Coturnix japonica: one gene and its partners. The protein of the gene in region 1 interacts with the protein of each later gene in a pairwise test. Links are inferred from orthologs where the notes say so. Each region holds a gene or a part of one and is shown in the gene's direction. Other genes may lie near its edges.

Region 1 (7,459 bases):
TTTCCCCATCCTTCCATTTGAGTGGACAGACTAAAGTCCAGAACCACTGTTTTGAGCAACTTCTAGGAGTGCCAGAGTGTAGGGGATCCATCACATTGCCAGTAGGCTCCTTCCTGGTGCGTGTTTTCTTCTTTGTTCTTGGTTTTTTTTATTATTTGGTCATTGATTCTGTTTTTGCAGGTGGCCGTGGACAACGAAATGGAACTTCTGGGATGGATCAACCTTGGAAGAAAAGTGGGAAAAACAGGAAATCAAAGCGCATTAAACCACAGGAGTCTTCAGACAGTACAACTTCTGGAACTAAATTCCCCCATCGCTTTCCTCTTCAGGGTTTAAATACTACTGCTTGGTCACCATCAGACACTTCACAAGCAAGCTATTCAGCGATGTCTTTTCCAACTGTTATGCCTGCATATCCACTTCCTGTTTTTCCAGCAGCAGCAGGGACTGTGCCACCAGCTCCTGAGACTTCAGTCTCTGGATTTAATCAGCTGCCAGACTCGGGAAATACTTGCCCTATGCAACCGTCCCAGTTTTCTGCCCCCCTCATGACGCCTGTTGTAGCTCTTGTGCTCCCCAACTATGTCTACCCAGAAATGAACAATAGCTTACCTCAAACACTTTACCACAGCCAAGCCAATTTTCCTACCCATCCTGCTTTCCCTTCACAGACAGTATTTCCAGCGCAGCCTCCTTTCACTACCCCCAGCCCTTTCCCACAACAGGCGTTTTTTCCAACGCAACCATTCCATTATAATCCACCAGCAGAAATTGAAAAGATTCCTGTCACAGAGACACGAAATGAGCCATCCCGTTCCTGCACTCCACAGTCAGTGGGTCCTCAAGACCAGGCTTCGCCGCCTTTATTCCAGTCAAGGTGTAGTTCTCCTCTGAATCTTCTACAGTTAGAAGAAAACACAAAAACTGTGGAAAGTGGAGCTCCTGCGGGTTTGCACGGAGCTTTAAATGAGGAAGGAGCCATAAACAAAATCATGACAACTGATGATGGTAGTGGAAAGGGATCCCTACCAGTAAGTATGTTTGTGTTCTTCTTGGGTATGTGTGTTTTCCATTTAAAATCTTGGCACTCTAAGAATATTTAAGGTGTTAAAATGTAGAGATACCCATAGTGGGTCTTTTTCCCTCTTCTGTTTTCTTGTCTCTACTTTATCATTTTCAAAACTCTCTTGTGGACCTTAAATTTTAATATCTGGTCTGCAGTCTCTAGAGACGGAGTCACTATTGCAGTTAGTAAACTCAGGTTTTGGTAGACTGTATAAATGTGGAATCAAATTGTTTGAATAATGCTAACTTTTAAAGTTGAAGGCAGCCTTATTGTTCTCCTGAAGTTACCCCAGGAAACTTGAAAATGAATCCCGAATTAGTTTTGTTATGCAGCTTTTAATGTGAGTGCTAATGCATTCATTGAGAAGCACTGAAATAGATTGTAAATCATTTGTTCACTTTTTTTTAATGTTTAGCAAAAACTTTTTGGGTAGTAAATTTCTGAGAAGGGAGTGAGGGAGATGCAACCTGTAACTGAGGTCTTGAAAGAAGCTGATATAAAGGAAATTATCTTTTTATTTTGACTACTTGTTTGCAAACAAAGTATGAGGTATTGCCTGCGGACACTGTTTATTTTTCTTGGTGCACTGTGCCCTAAAGCTCCGTACAGAGCTATGTGATAATGTCAGCTTCTTTTCCTGGCTCATTTAGATTTGTTGGATCAATTAAACTAATAATCTGACAAACCTCAGGTGGAGTGCTGTGTCTAAGGATTTCTATGATGATGGTATAGACTGTTACATTACTGTTGCATAAGGATTCTGCATAGTGTCTTTCCGAATGCTGAGTCACTGATGGGATGCAACCTAAGTCTTCTAGAATGTCCTCCTACCTCCTGCTTTTCTTCTTATGTGGGCTGTAACTGTTCACTATAACTGACAGCGTATACAGAGTACAATTTGAGTTCCATGCTGTTCAAAGGAAAGCAGACATTGGAAGGTGTGGCTCTTACTGGCATGTGAGATCAAACATGCTCCAAGTAATCAGTCATAGAGCGCAATTAGTGCTGATGCCAACAGCTGATTAAATGACTTTGTTATATAGTTTGTCGTGGGCATGTGCCGACATTAGAAACTGTGGAGGTGGAAGGTAAAACGTACAAACATGCTTGCTCCTCACTCTGACAAACTTAGTTGCTCAGTTTCCAGATGATTTATTTTACCTAATAATCTTGATATTGATTCTTAAGGGGGATGATCAGAGGGGGAGCAGAAAGGAATATAATATATCTGCCTTTCTAGTGAAACTTCCAAACTTTATTGACATTATGCAAAAGCTTACTGTATTCTGTTGTGGCACGCTTGGTGTCTCATGATCTTGAGAACAAGTGTATGTGTATATAATATACACACATTATATTTAATGTATATATGTACATAAATAAAGCACCTTAGATTTGTGCATGGTAAAGAAGTGCATCTGTGATGGTCTGAGACTTACTGCGTGCTCTGAAATGTTGCTACTGGATTAAAGTAAGCTTGATAACAAAAAATACCAACAATTTTGACGGGAAATCCTTTGGAATTCTCTCAGGAGGCTATTTCCCATTGTTCGGAAACCTGCAAAATATTACTTTCTGTAATTTCATCATCACTTGTTTGAACATGAAGGCAAAGCAGGCATTTGTTCAGGAAAGCACTGAGGATATATCTGAAGCTTGTTCATGTATTACAATGTATTCTGTTAATTTCTTCATCAACGTTAATTCCTGAAATTCTTCAAGCCAACTTCTAATGAAGTTTAGCAGTTTTGTAACTGTTCATGTTGACAAATAACAAGCAGTGTAAACTTAACAGAATACCAAGTCAAGTGGATTAATAGTAAATGTAAGAAACTGGAGATGAGATGACCTTAATTTTCTGTTGTTGTTTGTTTCCCTCCTCTTCCTCTTACCAGGCTGAGTCTCCAATGGATGCTCAAAATAGCGATGCGCTCTCTATGTCCAGTGTCCTGCTTGACATTTTACTTCAAGAAGATGCATGCTCAGGCACTGGCTCAGCTTCCTCAGGGAGCGGAGTATCTGCAGCTGCTGAATCTCTCGGGTCTGGATCTAACGGCTGTGACATGTCAGGAAGCAGAACAGGTAATACAGGCAGTGAATACTCCCAGCATTTTAGAAGCGTTGGATTGTGATATCCTACAGACCTCACATGAATTGAGTAATGGAGAGGACCATAATCCTTTGTGTTTCAAATTTATTTCCTTTTAGTTAATTATTCTATTGCAGTTTAATAGAGTTTTAGCTTTAATGATTAGGTTTTTAAAATGTTTAAATGGTTACTGTAGTGGGAGTACCTTCTGTTTAGAAATGAAATTAAATGGTCATGATGTTTTGTTTTTTCATTTCTTTTTACCCATTTCTATCTTCAAAAATACAGGACTGGTCTATGTATTTGACAATTTCTAATGAAGCTTTAATTTCTCTTTTAAAGGCAGTAGTGAAACTAGTCATACCAGCAAATACTTTGGGAGCATCGATTCCTCAGAAAACCATCATAAAACAAAAATGAAGGCAGAAATAGAAGAAAGTGAGCACTTCATTAAATACGTTCTTCAGGATCCCATATGGCTTTTGATGGCAAACACAGATGATACAGTTATGATGACTTACCAGATACCCTCTAGGTAATTCCAGCACCTCAGTCCTTCATAAACTGCATGCACATTGGGGGAGCAGGGTAAACTGAATCTCTGTCTTAATAGAAGACACCTTGTTTAGGTCAGTGTCAAGAACTGTTGCTTCCTTTATATCTTTTGCATACTATCTTCAGAAGTTCTGGAGAATGACTTGGTCAGGCGTATTTTTCTGGAGGCTGATGCATATCTCATATGTGTGTATCTAGTGTCTGATTCAGGTTGTCCTGCTGAAGGAGAACTTGGATCTCACTGCAGCATCTGCAGAGGGGTACTGAACTTCTTTGTTTCAGTGGTAGCACTAAGCAAGCAGTTCTCAGTGGGATTTGGAAGGACAATGAGCCAGCAGAGATGTGCTAAAGTTTTCTGCAAATGTAGAATGCTGCTGAAATAATCACACTTCATTTTTTTTTTTCCAGTGTCAGATCTGTAAACTGAACAATCCAGAACAAAAACTGTTTTTTTTAATAAAAGAAAAAAGCTTGTATTTGATTGTGTGACATTATGTAGGTGTAAAGCCCTGAAAGAACTGAAGCTCAATTTCTGAATATGTTTCATTTTAGAGATTTGGAAACAGTTTTAAAAGAAGATAAGCTGAAACTAAAGCAAATGCAGAAACTACAACCAAAATTTACCGAAGACCAAAAAAGAGAGCTTATTGAAGTTCATCCGTGGATCCAGCAAGGTGGACTGCCAAAGACTGTTGCTAATTCTGTAAGTTTAAATCAGTTTGTTATTTTCGCATGTATAACAGTGCTTGTTATTAGCTGCCTGTGTTAGTTTTCCTTTCCTGTTTGGAAGAAAGCTTGGTCAGTTATACTGAGAAATAGTTAAAATCAAACTTGCTTGCCATGGCTTCTGGCTTGATTCAACTTACTGGTAATCTTCTTTCCAGTAGAAAAGTTGAGGTAGTGAATCCAGTATGAGGAATGGCCTTGTCTGTCATTTCTAGTTTTGTTGAATCTCTTAGAAATTATGTATCAATGCAACTAGCAATTTCATTCATGTCATACGAGATTTTCATGCAAAAACATGTTTTGAGCATAGAAACTTAGGCCTATTTCTTCCTTGAAAGTGTGTGATGGATGGGAATACAGTCTTCCTTCTCTGTATTAAGTTTTTCCTGCAGAATCCTTCCTTGTCTAGATTGTATAAGTAGATTAGTAGCTCAGGAAACAAAGGGCGGGGAAGGGGGAAGGAATCCTCGCAGTTTTATTGGTTATATGTGAATTTTACTTACGAATAAATGATTGCTTTCCAATTCCCTAAGTTCCCCATCATTTGTAGCTTCTTTTCAGATAAGCTATCAAATGCAGAGGCTCTCTTTATTCATGGATGTTTCAAAAGTCAATGCGATAGAATTTGAATAGATCCTTCTGTTATTAATGTTACTGCAGCATTGATGTGAGGGCATCCAACAGGTGTGAAACTACAGTCACTTCAGTCTCTTAAGCAGTGCAGCTGACCTGAATGTATTAATGTACCAGTGTTAGCAATCAAATGTAGGAAAAGATGTTCTTATAGTGCTTATGAGAAGTCAGAATTGTAAATATTCTGTGATGTAGCTGTTCATAGTAGAGTTGTCGAGTACCTTGTGCTGATTTACTATGTTATAAATTGATTGTGTAGGAGCAGCTGGAGGATGGAACCTGAGTGTGGCACAGATTTACAAGTTCCTTTGGAATCAGGGATCACATGCAAATAAACTGATGTTTGGAAAATGTTTTTTTATTATTTTTTTTCCTTTGACTTAATGTTGTTTTGTCTTATTTTAGGAATGTATTTTTTGTGAGGACAATATACAGAGCAATTTTTATACGTCATATGATGAAGAAATCCATGAAATGGACCTTAATGAAATGATTGAAGACAGTGGGGAGAACAATCTGGTTTCTCTGAGTCAAGTCAGTGAAGAACAAACATAGCCTTTGAGCCTGTTGCTTTTAAAGCTGCTTCAAAATTACAGTGATGATCCATTAAGGTTTTAATCTTGTTTCCAGCAAGATGAATCTGGTTCATAAAGCAAATGTTTTTCTCACTCTAAAAGAGTCATTTGTGAAAGAATCTCTTTTTAAATGGTGGCAATCTCTTCCCAGTAAGGACATTGTTGAAGATGGTATAGCTTTTATTTAAAGAAAAAAAACTCATATTTTGCACTTATATGCCTCAAGTATTTCTTTGTAAACTATAAAAGCTTTCATTGATGCCTACTGAGTGGGTCAGTGAGTACTGTGAGTACTGAAAATCCCCTTGTGAACGTATAGCTCTTAAAATCTTTGAGTAACGGTTCAGCATTATAAATTGTTCTAGGAATCTTGCTTAGAAGCTCTTTAGCATTGCTTTTAATATTTGAAGTGGTCCAACATAATAGAAGAAACAACCTTCAAGAAAATCAGTTCGCACTTGCCCTTTTTGTACCAGTCTGAGCCATCCTCTTTGTTTCCTATAGCGTTGACTATAGGAACCTTTTGCCTAAAAGAAATGCTGAACTAATTCTGTAAGGTGATCTTGGGTTAAAATACTTACGTGGATACTTAAGAAAGCATAGGTGAGTGCTGACAACTCTGTAGCCTTTTGTTTCAACGGACACTGCAATTCTATGAACTGTGTATTATCTCGAAGCATGATTTCTGAGAATTTACACACAAAATCTCTTCTAAACAAATTTGCAAACACACAGGATGACTGTGTGTGCTCCAGTGACTGAGACAAAATGTGGTGTCATTTAACCTTTATTTTTGGTCTGTTCTGTTAGGATGTTGGCCGTCCGTTTTTCTGTTTGGCTAAACAAACATCAAACTTGCATGTGGCAAGAGAGGATCAGACATTTCTCGTAATTGGAAGATATTTCTTATAAAAAGAGATTTTGAGAATACCATTGACTTTCACAGATTACATAACTTAACACTTAGTGTGGCTGGAGTCCTTACCTGTCAAGGATTTAATTTCAATGCCTCAGCGATTGTATCAACTTCAATATGTGTACTTTGTCCTTGCGTTGTTTGTACATGTTGGATGTGGGAAGAGAACAAAAGAGAGTAACTATCAATATTGATTAGTTAGAAGAAATCTAGTTGCAGCATTGCTAGATGTCAGCTTGTAGGTCTCGGGGGGTCAAAATCGTGGAGAAACTCAATTAACTTTGCTATGTTTGTCTTAAAATATTTTTCATGAAAGCTTTTTTTTCTTCTGGTTCTTTTTTGTTTGTTTGTTTTAATATTAAGATAACGTTTCTATTCACTGAAAGTTATTTTCATTATATGGAAATGTTTCTCTTTGCATCCAAAGAGGACATGAAGGTAGATCTGGCACCGCCAAAAACATGTTGAAGTGACTGGTATTTGCTTAGTGGATGAAATGTGTGAATGAATGAATTAATTGGACAGCATCATAAGGAAATTTGCAATGGAGACAGGTTCTTCAGTTAGAATGTGTGAAGTTACAGAACAAGTAGAATCACTACTTCAGAAGTGAGTATCTTAAACATAGTGTGAAACGCTCATCAGCGTGATCTGATTCCTGTCTTTAACACTTCTGCAAGATCAAACTTGAGTAGATGTATATAAACCGAATGAGAAACATTAAAATGTTGGTATTCCAGTCCAATATATTAAATGTTTCTATCATAAATGGAACAGTGCAGCTATACCAGCATATTACCTATTCCTTTTTTGTTTTTTATTACATGTAAACACAAATAGTTTTAATTGGACCAGGGTTTGGGAAAAACAAAAGCTTTATATATAAAGGAGCGCATCAT
Region 2 (7,459 bases), on another chromosome or scaffold:
ATTTTTAATTTGATGTATCTGCCACCTGTAAGTATTTCATGGTTCAGAGCTCTTTGAGTAGTGAGCAGGGTGAAGAGCAGTGCTTCAGTTCTTATGTGAGGTAGGGCTTAACCTGGTTTGCTCTAATGTAGGAGCACAATTCTAGACTTAGTGAATTCAGGATCATTTTTTCTTTCATACACTAGCATTCCTGCATCTGAGCTACTTCCTTGCAGTAGGCGTTGTAAGATGTGATGGCATTAGTAGGTAGAGAACAGCAGTGAAGTAGCTGTGTGGTATTTATCCTAGCTCACCGGGAGAAATCAGTCATGTTTGAGATTTCTACAATGTAAAAGTCTCATTAACAGCCTGCATGAAATGAGGGGTAAAGTATTTCCTGTATGGGTTTGCAGAGGCCATATCAGCTTCTTTTCAGAATGAGCAGTGCAGGGTAGGTGGTGGCAGAAGTTTAGTAATGGTCCAAGTAAGGATTTTTCTATGAAAGGGATTTGGGATAAAAATAATTCGCTGTAAATAAGTGAAAATTCTAGATGAGTTAATTACAATCTTGGTGATTATAAGCTGGATTGTCTTTAAGGTCCCTTTCAACTCAAGCCATTCTGTGATTCTAGAAGTGTTTCTGCATTTCTTCACTTCTAAATTTCATAGAATTAAAGAAAAGGTAATTGAAATTCAGAGTGAGGCTATCGGCAGGTTTAATTCAAGACATCTGAGCATTTTTTTCAGTTCTTTGTGGAACAATTTTCCCAAGTTTCTCCATGAAGTGAAGCTGACTTTGATTTTCCATCTAGATGTATAGCAATATACAGTATGTCTCATGAGCAATGCTATCCTGGTAGGGATTCACCAAACAGCGAATGTCGCAGAACTGGAGTGAATGCAAGAAGGAGGGGTGAAACTGCATTCCAAATTGTAACCTGAAAGAGTGGTATTTTGCATGGATTTTGTAGGCTTTGAAACTAATAATTTCATTTCTAAAGCCTTTTCTAGCAGTAAAACTCAGTGGTTTGTCAGTGTCTTTATTTTCAGGGTTCTGATTTTCTCCTTATTGCTGTTTTGGAGACCATGAATGTTTCTACATGCAAAGCACTTAAGGCTAAAATCCAGCAAAACCACTGTCTGCTTTCAAAAACATAAAGACTGGGAAGGGGGACCAGGCTACAGCTATTTTCAGGTCTCTTGTGTTCCAGTTTTGTATTGGTCCAGTTATGAAGGGATCAAATGCTTCATTTCAAAATGCTTGAAAGTATCATAAAATATTAAGGGTCACTGTGGATACAAACATTGGCAGTAATGACTCTTAGAGTCCACCTTAAGAACCCTGAAGATCTGTGTGTACTAACTTCATAAACCAAGTTATTATGCTTAATAAACTCTTTCCTTATCTTGCAGTGGGTATCCCCACTATTAAGTGGTGTGGTGCAGAAGGGGACTACAACGTCATGGTGATGGAGCTGCTGGGACCGAGTCTTGAAGACCTCTTCAATTTTTGTTCAAGGAAATTTAGTCTCAAGACAGTCTTGTTACTCGCTGACCAAATGGTAGGAAACTGTGTTGCCTGTGACTGCAAAGCATGTTAAGCTAGTTAAAATGTCTTGAGTGACCATGGCCAGCTGTATTTTGTTTCATTTTTTGTTTATATTTATTTAGAGCTGAATAGGGTGTATCATTAGAGGGGGGAAAAACTCTGAATGAGGTTTTTAGAAACAATGTAACATAGACACAGGGAAAGAGCTGCAGGGAAGATATATTTATTGTTTTCTAAATTATTCACTTTAATATCCTTTTCCAGAAAAGTCTTTATCTTGCTTATCGCTGAGGTGATGTGATAGTAGTGATAACATTGCTAGCGATTTTGTGAGAGAAAAGGGTATGACTGATATCTCAATTGTTTTTTGTCCTCTGTCTGTATGTAGATCAGTCGAATTGAATATATTCACTCGAAAAATTTCATCCACCGAGATGTGAAGCCAGATAACTTCCTCATGGGCCTGGGGAAGAAAGGCAACCTTGTCTACATCATAGACTTTGGATTAGCAAAGAAGTACCGGGATGCCCGAACTCACCAACATATCCCATATCGTGAAAACAAAAACCTAACAGGAACTGCCCGTTATGCATCCATCAACACTCATCTTGGAATTGGTGAGCTGGGAAAAGCAATGAATAGAACCTTCACAAGTGCTGATACATGTGTTTTCAGTGCAAGTTGATGATGCTTTTTGGGGCATAGAAGACAGACCCTATTGCTGGCACTCATGACACATTGTGCTTGGACTTATGCCTCTTGGGGTGGGGTTCAGTTTGTAATTCTAAGGAATTGACACATTTCTTTAATAATTGCAAGTGTGATCGTTTGTTTTTTTTTTCTAATACTGGGTGAGTTTGACACAGATGTAGTGATTTTCATCTGTCTGTTGTATTTTAAGGGTTTTTGACACATTATTGCTCAGTCTTCTGTTTTTTCCCACTAGATAATGAAACCTAATGAGTCCACTTTTTTATGCTGTTGTAGAGCAATCTCGCAGAGATGACTTGGAGTCCTTGGGCTATGTACTGATGTATTTTAACCTGGGCTCCCTCCCCTGGCAGGGACTGAAAGCAGCAACAAAGAGACAGAAATACGAACGTATCAGTGAAAAGAAAATGTCTACACCCATTGAGGTTTTGTGTAAAGGATATCCTTGTAAGTTGCTCTTTTATGTCACTAGGCCCATGTATTCATTTTTTAGTGGTATGTCTTTTTTATTTATGCTTTCTAGCTCCTCTGTCACAATGTGTTTGGAGCCTGTTTACAGTCTTCTTGACTTTTTTCCTACAACTGGGCATGCTCATAATAATGACACCGTGCTTTCAAGACCAGGATCTGTCTGTTCGTAGGCTGTTTCTACTTAGCCTCTGTCATAACTATTAGTAAGCAATCACTGTGGTGCTCTTGAGTTTGAAAGACAGCATAGTGTGTGTATGTGATCTGCACTGTCTTGTGTGTGCATGCATAAATTCTGGCAGGATGATTATTAACAGCCAAATAACTTTTTGAGAAGCTTCCCATCTCTTCATGTGTGGATATTCTTTCTGGATAAACCAGATTGTACAGTCATTTGCATCTATTGCAATTGTGTTGTTCTGGAATTGTCATTCCAAGTTCATCCAGTCCAGCCTGACCGTGGCCATTATCTGTGAGGGGTGTAAGAATCCCTCCAGATCCTGGCATCATCCCTCAAAGCTCAGTTTCTTTTCTTGGTGTTTACACCCTAGTAATAAAAAAGAATTTCTGATTCATGCAGAGTAATAACTATGTTTCAAAACTTGTTAATGTATTAGTTACCCTCAGGGAATATTGTTCACCTTTCAGGAAGTGATCTCTCTCTCTTCTTTCCTTGCCCTGTGCTGTGTTAGCTAAGTATGATGAGAATTGTAGCTATGGTGAGGGATGTATGAAAGCTTTTGAGTGTTCCAAAAGTCCTGTCGTGCATGTTCCTTTACTCATAAACTATTTCTTTCCTCTGGGATGAACAGACAAGATGGCAAACAACACAAGAACAGTTGCCTAAAATTCCTTACTTAATGTGAATTATTAATACATCATTTTAGGTGGAAAGCCTTAAAGTCAAGAGCTGGTAGATTGACACTGGTGTATCTCTGGAGCACTGAATACACAATAATGTTCTGTTTTTACTGCATAGCTGGTATTTTAGCAAAGAGATTCTATTCTGTGTACATTAAGTTTAAGTACATTCAGAGCAAGGAAAGGACAAGTAAATCTTTCCTTTGCTGAAATGTAGTTTTAAACTTTCTTCTTCCTCCTAACACAGTCCTACCTGCTATGGATAAATGGAGCCTTCGCCTAATCTGTGATAGACAATTTTCTTTTCAGACCATACTTGGCAGGGGGGATGTAGTGTTGCTTTCAGTAGATTTCTAGTACTATGTCAGTATTTGTATGTTTGGGAGGTTCTGTGTCGTGGTTGTTATTTTTTTAATGATTCTGAGCCATAAAAACCAAATATGAAGCTGAAGGAGAAAAACAGGCTTTCTTTTATTACAGCTGAATTTGCCACATACTTGAACTTCTGCCGTTCTCTTCGTTTTGATGACAAACCTGACTATTCCTACCTAAGGCAGTTATTCAGAAACCTCTTCCACAGACAAGGCTTCTCCTATGACTATGTGTTTGACTGGAACATGCTGAAATTTGTGAGTAGCTGGTGTGGCTTTCTAAAACAATTTTTTGTAATGCTATTTTTTTTAATCACACTGTCAGTTTTGGGTTCTTAACTGATACCTTAAGAGTGTTCTGTCCCAGAAGGTTTGTTGCCCTAAAAATGAGGGGAGGGAGGAAGTAGAGAAAAGCAGGACATAAAGGAGGCTTTAGATTGGGATTTAATGACGAAGTTGTAGTTACAGGATTGTCAGTGTAGTAGGCTTCCTAAGCTGCTTCCTTTGAGGCAGTTGCCACATTGGGTAGCTGACTTCTTATTTTTACCTGTCTTGATCTTTATCACATCTCACATACAACAGTTTAGGAAGTGTCCAATTGCCATAACAGTATGTGTGTGTTTATTAGCGATTTGAACTATCCCAGTGATTGTATGAACTGAATCTATGATAGTTCTCAAGAAATTTTACCAAGGTATTGGTAACCTATCAAACAAGTTCCTCAAACTTCAGTTCTTCGTTGTCAATATTTATTCAAATGTATAGTTGTAAGCTCAATAATCCTTTAAGTTGTTCACTAGTCCTGACCCGTAGGGTGCAAGCAGAGGGGCTGAAGATGCTGAACGTGAAAGGAGAGAACGAGAGGAGAGGCTGAGACATACACGAAACCCAGCTGTGCGTGGATTGCCCTCCACTGCTTCTGGCAGGCTGAGGGGAACGCAAGATGTAGCTCCTCCTACTCCTCTTACCCCAACTTCACATGCTGGTAAGTAAGCAAATATATGGGCTGACGCACCTCCCAGTCTGCTTTAATATGCAGTTTGTTCCTGGTCATTGGAATTTGAAAATAAAATAAGGATATGGGAGTGGTGTTTGAGTGAGTCAGCATTTGGACTTTTTTGTTTCATGCAATCATAGAATGGCCTGGGTTGAAAAGGGCCACAATGGTCATCCAGTTTCAACCCCCCTGTGATGTGCAGGGTCGCCAACTACCAGACCAGGCTGCCCAGAGTCACATCCAGCCTGGCCTGATTGTTTTTTGTTTTTCCCTTTTAATTTTCCGTAGATTGAAGGTAATTACACACACTCATTACCTGCTAATTGCTACTTAGAGTTATCTGCGAATATAAGATGAAAGCCTTGATTTCTCTGGTTTGATCTTGTAGAATTTACATGCGCCAACAGCGTAATTTTTCCAGTGACTGCATTTTTATTACATGCCTCATTCTGAAAATTCTAATGCAATTTTTCTCACAGCCAACACATCTCCTCGACCGGTGTCTGGTATGGAACGAGAAAGAAAAGTGAGTATGAGGTTGCACCGTGGTGCCCCAGTCAATGTCTCATCGTCTGACTTAACAGGCCGACAAGACACCTCTCGCATGTCCACTTCACAGGTAAAAACAATTCTTGTCTAATGGAAAAATGGGTGTTATTTGATAAGGTTAATTTGGCAGGTAACCATACAAAGTAATTGTTGTGCTCTCATACTGATTTTTCAGCCAATGTTGACTCGAATAAATAGTTGAAATTTGGCTGGAATGTTTCTGATGTTGGTACAGAGATTATTGGTGCAGAATAGATAACAAATGATTGGTAAAAAACAGAAAAGAGCAGGAATCAAGAAATGCTGTAGTGCAGTCCTTTAATTCTGAGTGAATAAGAAGCCACATAGATGAGTGATAGAGAGGTCACAGTAGGCTCAGCTGAGGAAGATGGCAGGACTATAAATGGTGCAGGGATTCGTAGCTGTAGTCTGCACTGAAATCATCCTCATTGATTTTAAGATCTGAATTTTAAGATTGGCAAATGATATTTTAAATTTATTTGGAGCTTTCTTTTAGATGAAGATGAGGTGGGTGTCTCTAGTGAAGACTGAGTGGGCAGGGTAGTTTTTTGTGCCTGGGTTCTACATCATGGCCTACAGTGTAAATGAGAAAGAATTCAGACAGCAGAAGGATTATGGAATCTAGTAAAATATAAGTGTGTAGCTGACTTAGTTCTCTTTCTGGGAATAAATGAAAGCATATGAGATGGAATGAGGTTGCAAAAAGAATGCAAAGATGATGAATACTCATATTGAAGAAGTTTTTCATTTTTAATCAATTTCAAAGTGCTTTTAGGAAAGAAGGAGAATTCCTTCCCTCAGCTGTATAATGGGGATAGAAACAGGCCAAAAACCAAATGAGAAATTGGCAACTATAAAACTATTTCAGTGCTTTTAGGCATATCCACATCAAAGGGCTCCAAGTATAGATGGTGCTGTGTATCCCTGTAGCAGCGGGCCTGGATTTAGCTGTTGTTCAAGATCTTGAAGCTCAAGATGTCGGTGGTTTGGATTAGAGTGGTGCTACTTTGGATTTCTAGAAAAATAGCTCAGTGAGTTTTCAGATCCTTGGGTTGCAGTGCAGGTAACTTCAAGATTACAGAATCACAGGAGGGCTGGAAACACTGCTCCAGCTGACTGCGTTTTCAGCTGTGTAATTGGACTAGATAATCCCTAGAGGTCCCTTCTGACCTTGGCTATTCTGTGAGGTCATGATCGTGAATATTTGTTCAAATGTAAAGATGGTTTCCTAGTAAAGTATGAATGTCTCTGACATTCTAAGCAAATTTCAGATACTTTATTACCAGTCAGGCAGGGGTGTAACAGATAAAAGTGTAATTATGCTGCTTGGCTGTGATAGGTGATTAAACTTAATTAGTCTGAATGTATCTTAAAGATTTTTTTTTGTATTGCTGACTTGAAGCTCAGTGTATATGTTGCTTTTTTCTAAGCATTGTAAGGTATGAGACTCACAAATGGGCTTGCAGATGGGTTTTGATTCTGCCTAGCTTGTGAAGTAAGCATACTTTTGAGATTGTTTAGCAATATGGATGGGTTTTTTGAGTGATCTTTAAATTGCCAGCTATATAATTTGTGGTGTGATTGCATATCTCTGTACCCACCCTTGAGCACTCTGCTCCAAGCATGGAATCACTCCAAGTATGGAATTTGACTTCTTTATAATAGCAGCCTAGTCTGGTTTTTCTCTGCGTTTGCTAAATTAATCATTCATCACCTGTCATTTTTCCTTAGTTCTTAACAAGGCACTGAACAGCTGCTGACCATTAGTGGTAGCTGAATAACAGTATGCAACCAGAATATAACTTCAGCAATTTCCCATAGGCCTGTCGTATTGACAAGGCAAGAGAGATTGACTTCAATTTTACTTTATAGCTATAGTAAGTATCCCACTTGCATGGCCAGGCTATTAAGGACCATTCCAAAATCTGATCATAATCAAGAAGTGGAGCCCAT
Region 3 (7,459 bases), on another chromosome or scaffold:
TAAGTCATTGATTCTAACTGAGCAAGAAAAATCATGGAATCATAGAACGGCCTGGGTTGAAAAGGACCGCAGTGATCCTTGATTTTCAACCCCTGCTATGTGCAGTGTCACCAACCACCAGACCAGGCTGCCCAGAGCCACATCCAGCCTGGCCTTGAATGCCTCCAGGGATGGGGCATCCACAGCCTCCTTAGGTAACCTGTTCCAGTGCATCACCACCCTCTGAGTGAAAAACTTCCTCCTAATATCTAACCTAAACCTCCCCTGTCTCAGTTTCAAACCATTCCCCCTTGTCCTGTCACTATCCATCCATGTAAGCAGTCCTCCCTCCTGTTTATATGTTCCTTTCAAATATTGGAAGGCCACAATGAGGTCTCCCTGGAGTCTTCTCTTCTCCAAGCTAAACAAGCCCAGTTCCCTCAACCTTTTCTCACAGGAGAGGGGCTCCAGCCCTCCATATGAGAAAACAAACAAACATCTGTATGAAGGATTTTTTTGACGAAATTGTTCTAATTTTAATGAGAAAATGCCCTTTAGGTGTGATATTGTATATTGGTGAAAACAAAATAGATTTGTTTCATCATTTGCAGCGCATCTTGTTAAACACATCCAGACCAGATGAAAGGTTCAAATAGTCTTAATAAATTGCAAGTTCATTCTGAATAATCGTTTGCTGTAAACGGAACTCCTTTTCTCCTATTCAAAAGCAGTGTTCTTTTGCACTGTTGTTACTACAAATACCATGGGGTCGCTAGGGCTTAATTTGTTTTTTTTTTCTCTCTGAACAGTGTGTTCTCAGTGACAGTTGTGCAGCCTAAGCTGGGACTTGGTTAGTTTGCTTCTGTTTTTGTGTGGGTGAGAAGGGTTGATAACAGAGTAATTTCTTCCCTGCGTCCCCCTCTGCTCCCTTCTCTTCCTCCATGTATTTGACAGCTCCAGTCTAGACTGTTGTTTTTCCACATATGTGCAAGTTTTATGGAGATAGGAAGAGAGATATTAGAGAAGATTTGGAAAACCAACAAAATAGAGATTAAATGGTATTAAGGGCAAGTTTAGGGACCTTGGATGTGAATTGAAGGCTGGGTCAGTGCATGTAATCTTCTTGAATAGGATTTTGTGTCAGGTCTAGACTAAAGTTGTGTGCTGTGGTCAGTAAGGAAGAAAGTGGGTTGAGAAAATAGGGGGGAAGTAAGTAGGAAAACAATTTCCTGAGACAGTTCTTGCATTGAAATAGCTGTGAGTGTTTTGTTTTGCCAGTTCTCCTTAACACCTTTTCCCTATATTCTGTGGCTTGAAGTTTAAATTCAAACAAAAATGTACCTCTTCTATCATTCCAAAGCCACCTGGGACACTATAGTTCATGTTTATAGTGATTTGTGAACGCATATGTTCCTGGGAAACAAGATTGAGAAAGATTGAAATGGACAGGATTCATGATAAAGACTGTAATTCCAAGCTTAAAACAGCAGCAACAACAACAGAAAAACACTCTGTGCTTTCTAGTGTAGGCCTAGAAGTGACTTTGGCCTACAAACTTAGGGCCTGCATTCTCTTTAAATAGAAGCATATGTTATTTCACTCTAGAATCTAATATTAAAATGACTTTTTATACAGAAGTTTCTTTTTAGATATAGCATATATATCTTACTTCATTGTCTGCCTGCCTTGGAGGGTTTGTTTTTTATCAGATCAAAATTTAGCAAAGTGAGAGAACTGGGCATTGTTTTTTGTTTCTGTCATTAAACACGTACTGTGGTTGTCAGTAAAGAAGCTGCTGTGCTCTTGTATACCCATATGTAGTGGTGTTATGGGAGGTCCTCATAGGATTGATGGCCTCCAGCAGGAGAGTCTCTCCTTTGCCTCTCAGGGCATCACTTTTGGTTGATGGTGGGGAATCCAGTGGCGCATGCATGCACAAAACTTAGCAGCTGCCCTCATCAGTGCATGATTTGCCTCACAGTAACATCGCTGTGGTAGAGGGTTTGAGCAGCTCCTAATTAAAACCTTACTTTTATCACAGAGATAATGCTGTAGGGGAAGCACTATGCTGGTGAAGGGTCTGTGAGAAGGATGCTTATCTGAATATCTCCATAGGTGGCCACCAGCCTCAGTTTTCCTGTCAGTTTTCTTGTCTCCCCCCAGACAATCTTCAGCCATCTTCAGTTACTCAATCCACTAATCATTCTTTGGTGCGTAGATCTGTCTCAACATCCGATGTGCAACAGCTCGTTTCACCTTAAGACTTTTAGATCTGCAGCCTACCCCCCCCCCCCCCCCCCCCTTTTTCCTTGTTTCCTGATTTGCTTGTTACAAATTGAAGGGAGGGTATAGCTGGTTTGTGACATTCCTCCTTAGAAACAGGGCTATTTTTATAAGTGAAGGCCAATGGCGTAGTTGTGACCATCTAGTCCCCCGACGTGCTGTTTTTAGTAACAGTTCAGGCCTCTGTGTTGTAAGGGGCACTTGGATTAAGTTTCATTGCTGTATGCCAATAACTGATTGTCTCCTCTTTTATTTTGTGGTGTGCTATTTTTTCCCCCTTCAGGGTGACAAGACATTTACAGATTCAGATAAGACTTGAGTATCTTTTAATGTGTTCCGGAACTGAGTAGCACTGAGGTGAAAACTTCAATGAGAGCTCAGTTTGATTTTTGTCAGTTGTGTGCTGCTTAATAAGAGCTGTTGAACTACTGCAAGCTAAGTGTACTTAGAATGGTGACATGCATGCATCACCAAAATACACACAAAATATGGAAGATCTGATAACAGTTGGGCTGTTCCTCTAGGTCCCTGTTTCTACTGCAAAGTTGCTTGGTCTACCTCAGAAAGCAAACATTTCTTTACTTTTCTTTGCAGGTTTCTGCTTCAGTGTCTTGAGGATCTTGATGCCAATCTACGGAAACTGAATTCACGTTTGTTTGTTATTCGTGGACAGCCAGCAGATGTTTTCCCCAGGCTTTTTAAGGTAAATGCTAGAAATGCATACAACTAAAATACAGGTTTCCTTTTACCCTACGGATAGTTTCTGTCCATGAGTATGACTGTCAAAATGGTTTCAACTTAAGTATACTAGTATACTTAAGCACAAGTTGCTTTCAACACAAATGCTAAATACACTTTTGCAGTTTCAGGATTTTTCAATGTTTGAATTTCTGTTCCTCTCTAATGTGCACATCAATTGGCTTGAGTTCCTTTTTAGACTACACAGTTCTAATTCTTTTCTCTCCAGAAACAGGGCTAATTTCTCATGTTTTGCTGTGTCCTGTACTAAGTTTTCCTTTCTGGGTTCCCTCTGAAATAACACGTACACAAATTCAGAGATTCAAAGTTTGACCTGTAAAAGCAGTGCTTTGATTTTAGACCAAACCTCTGCTGTGCTTTTTAGGGTTAGGGTTAGGGTTAGGGTTGGAAGGGACCCTTAAGGTCACCTACTTCCAACCCCCTGCTATAGTCAGGGACACCTTAGAGGGATCTAGACCAGGTTGCTCAGAGCCCCATCCAGCCTGGCCCTTAATGTTTCCAGGGAGGGGGCATCCACAGCGTCACTGGGCAACCTGCTCCAGTGCCTCACCACCCTCACAGTAAAGAATTTCTTCCTAATAGCTAGTCTAAATGTACCTCTTCCAGTTTAAAGCCATTTCCCCTCAATTTGTTGCTACATGCCCTCATTAAAAAGTTCCTCCCCAGCATTGCTGTGAGTCCCCTTCAGGTACTGGAAGGCCGCTATCAAGTCTCCCTGGAGCCTTCTCTTCTCCAGGCTGCTCAGTATGCTTTGCATATGGATTCTAAGAGGTTTTATGGAATGACTGAATTGAGGTGATTGAGATAAGCAAGACTGGAAAAAATATCCTTTTCTGGAAAGACTGTCTTCTCAAGAGTTGTAATTTTCCAGTCATCAGCACTAAGCTAGATAAATGAAAGAGATTTTTTTTTAATCTCTTGAGCATGTTAGTCATTTGGCTGAAGGCTACCTCAAGCACGTATATAACTCATACAGTTACACCTGTAGCCTATTTTGCCAAAGCAGATACCTATATATCAGGTGGCTGATGTGGAACCTTGAATCAAGCTTTTCAAATTGTTCTCATTAAATGTCTCATAAAAGTGAGCAACAATCCTGACCATGAACAACACATCTGTTTTTTTGTCTGAAAGGTGATATCTTCAAGCCATTAATGGTAGGATGCAGTGGAACTTCTATAAACTCTTGTGTCAGAAACCTTATTTAAGATGCCTGGGGGTGAATATTTCACAGCTGTTTTTTTTTTTAAGTAGGGCTCTCCTTTTCACAGTTTGGAGGATGATGTTTTCAAAAGACAGAGTACTGATATATTTTAATTGTTAAAAAGGACTAAGAGGACTCTAGGATTAGAGAGAGATACTTGTTTATGTTCTTCTTTCCTGCCCGCTTTCAATCCCTCAGAACAGCTTTGCTTCCCTTAAGACTTAATTCGGTGTCACCTGTTCTCAGCAGTACTAGCTAGTATTGCTACTGAAAGCAGCACTAGGTTGTCATCTTCCGGAGTAGTACACAGAGACAGAATATTTTTATCAGCAAACTTTGCAGGTCTTTGCAAAAATTTTATTTCTTTAAGTCAAGAAAGATGGTTTCATTTGACTGCGGAGTTGCAGCTTTCATTAGTCGCTGACACCCACTTGGTACCTGTTACTTAATTTGAAATGGTGAACTTCACTTGGTTCTTGCTATTCTTTCCAGTTTGTCCTAGTTTGTTCTGTATCTCTAGTGCTTTGGGGCTGGCTTGATGAACAGAATAGAGCTGGGACGATTTCTGATTTATTTAAATACATCAGTGTTGATAAAAGCATCCATTGTGCCAAGCAGCACGTGCAAAGTGTGTCCTTGCCTCTACGTGCCTACCTCATGCTAATGTGAACTGACATTACTATTAATGTGAACTGTGTGTATTCGCATCACGTCTCACTTGTCTCAGAGTTCCTTGGCTCTCTGTGCAGTGTGGCTCTGGCCCTTGGATGCTTTTTTTTCATGGTTTTCTTTTCAACATACCAGAGGAAAGAAGGATTTAAGAAAACTTGCTACCAGCTGTCAAACGTCACCACTGAATGTAAAATAAACATTGTGTAAGAGGAGGCTGCTAAAGGGTTCAGGGCCTGCTGTGTCATTGTTGGCAGACGTAAGGGTGGAAGGATGCCAAGCACTCCCTAGAGTAATCTATCCTCATTATTGTACCTGTGCTCCATCACAGGTGATGTGATGGAGAAGTGAAGCAGTGCCCTAAGTGAACAGTGAACCCCTGTGCCTTTGGTATAAGTCTCGTTCTCTGAAATAGTCTGGCTGGTGTGTTTAGGTCTCCTGTTTAAGGTAACTGGGATTAGAAACATGCTCAAAAATGTCCAGAAGACAGCCTGTGTCATCTTTCCCTGCCGTTATGCCTCTTAAGTATGTGGATCCTAAAGTTAAAGCTGGATTTTCAAAACTTCTATGGAAATGTAATGGGGCAGATCAATAGAGGCTTTTTTTGTTTTTGTCTGATTCCAGTCTAGGTGCCGAAATGTTGGCTGCTTTTTTGTCAGTCAGGATATCTGTATCTCTGTGTCTTGTACCTTTGTGTATTTTTACCAGCTCTCTACAGCTGGTGTTACAACCTGTCTTTTCTGTTCTCCTTTTCCTCACTCTCTATCTTGCAGCTGGTTTGCTGAAGGACCGGATATTTATTTTGTGTTTCAGGAATGGAGCATTGCAAAACTGTCTATTGAATACGACTCGGAACCATTTGGCAAGGAGAGAGATGCAGCAATTAAGAAGCTGGCTAGTGAAGCTGGAGTGGAGGTCATCGTTCGAATTTCTCACACATTATATGACCTAGACAAGTAAGTTACCATTACTCTGGTTTTATAAAGGAAGAAACAACTAGAACTTGTTCTGGTTTAATTTTAGTTTGTTCTGTCTCAATTTCATTTCTACACAAGTTAGCAAAAGGTCCTCCATTTTTCTCACACTGTTTCCTATAAGTGACATATCCAGTAACATTCTGGGGATTGTTTGATATCCCTGTGTTGTGTTACTTAATGTGTTGTTTGTTATTCCACAGATCTATTTAAAGGGATTAGTATTAGCTCCTTATTATAGAAACACAATCTGCAAACTGTTCAAAAATATGATTTGGCTTCTCTTAACATTAAGTAATTTGTTACTGTAGATGCTCATTTTAATGTTATAAACCACATGTATGGGAGATTGCTAGATGCACGTATTTGAAACCAGTAACTAGTTTTAAATCTTAAACTGAAAATCTACCCCTCTGTCAAAATTCCTTCTCATTTTCCCCCTGTCCTTAAGTGAACAGTTGATTCGATCTGCTGCTTTAAGCTATTTCTTGAACTTACCCTGTTTCCAAGATTGCAGATTTAAAGATGGATGGACGGTGCAGAATGTGAAAACTGTGTATTGACAAGTCATTGTGTATAAATGGCAGCCTAATCTTTTCTCAGTATTAATTCAGCTGCAGCACTGGACTCTGCTCTGAATGCCAGAGTAGAAAAATGCTTTCTTTTTATGCAGCTGATCTTATAAGATGCATGCAACTCACCTGTGCTGCTGCAGACTTTTACCTGCTCTGTTAATTCTATGTGTTTTCGTTGCCTCGAGCTTTTTGTATTCGTTACTCATTCTTAAGGAACTTTCGTCAGCCCAGAAGTTAAGAATAATTGACTTGATTTTAAACAGTTAATTTATGTTTTCCTGATGAGGAAAAATGATGGTGTGAAATTAAGGTACAAACTGTCTGGATAATCAAGTATATCAGTCTTTCTGTGTAGCACAATATTTCTTCTGTGTGCATAGATGTATACACAAACAATAACAAACAAATGAAAAAAAAACCCAACAAATAACATTGTAATATCTTCTTGTCTAACATACTTTGTTTTTATTCTTTTTTTTCCTTTCAAAACCAGAATTATAGAATTAAATGGAGGACAGCCACCTCTTACTTACAAGCGATTCCAGACTCTGATTAGTAGAATGGAACCTCTGGAGATGCCAGTGGAGACTATAACCCCGGAGGTAATGCAGAAATGTACCACTCCAGTTTCCGATGACCACGATGAGAAATACGGTGTCCCGTCGCTTGAAGAGCTAGGTAAGTTCTTACACTGTTAAGATGTTGCAGAACGAGTATAGGAGCAGCCTCCCACTGAAAGCGTAATACTTAAAATAACCACCTGAGAGAAGTTCTACTTCTGGTTAATTGTTAGTTGATGTCAATGATGTCAAACAAATAGAACAAAAAGGGATAATGAGCTTGGTGCATTTTAGGTTTTGAGTTTGTTTAAATGGGTGGTCAGATGGGTCAAACTACACTAAATACTGCTGAGCTTCTTGAAGTACAGCACCGCCATTTTATTGAGATACCAAATAATCATCAAGCTACTACAGTCTTTATTATTTCCTTGCATTATATGGCTTTAGTGATCTTGT

Evidence for each region.
Region 2: the proteins of PER2 (region 1) and CSNK1D interact in binary tests that used the Homo sapiens proteins (3 or more experiments, as listed by UniProt). The link is inferred for Coturnix japonica from reciprocal best matches to the Homo sapiens genes PER2 and CSNK1D.
Region 3: the proteins of PER2 (region 1) and CRY1 interact in a two-hybrid assay, tested with the Homo sapiens proteins (5 studies listed by BioGRID, with this or other methods). The link is inferred for Coturnix japonica from reciprocal best matches to the Homo sapiens genes PER2 and CRY1.

Annotation. Positions count from the first base shown.
Region 1 is NC_029524.1:4,256,778-4,264,236, reverse strand, and holds part of PER2 (period circadian protein homolog 2), read left to right. Parts: intron 1-180; coding exon 181-1,031; intron 1,032-2,961; coding exon 2,962-3,148; intron 3,149-3,497; coding exon 3,498-3,690; intron 3,691-4,262; coding exon 4,263-4,413; intron 4,414-5,474; coding exon 5,475-5,624; 3' UTR 5,625-7,459. UniProt on the Homo sapiens protein: Transcriptional repressor which forms a core component of the circadian clock.
Region 2 is NC_029533.1:4,234,028-4,241,486, forward strand, and holds part of CSNK1D (casein kinase I), read left to right. Parts: intron 1-1,392; coding exon 1,393-1,541; intron 1,542-1,916; coding exon 1,917-2,145; intron 2,146-2,515; coding exon 2,516-2,686; intron 2,687-4,048; coding exon 4,049-4,197; intron 4,198-4,752; coding exon 4,753-4,924; intron 4,925-5,415; coding exon 5,416-5,555; intron 5,556-7,459. UniProt on the Homo sapiens protein: Essential serine/threonine-protein kinase that regulates diverse cellular growth and survival processes including Wnt signaling, DNA repair and circadian rhythms. It can phosphorylate a large number of proteins.
Region 3 is NC_029516.1:49,004,759-49,012,217, reverse strand, and holds part of CRY1 (cryptochrome-1), read left to right. Parts: intron 1-2,856; coding exon 2,857-2,965; intron 2,966-5,707; coding exon 5,708-5,850; intron 5,851-6,936; coding exon 6,937-7,121; intron 7,122-7,459.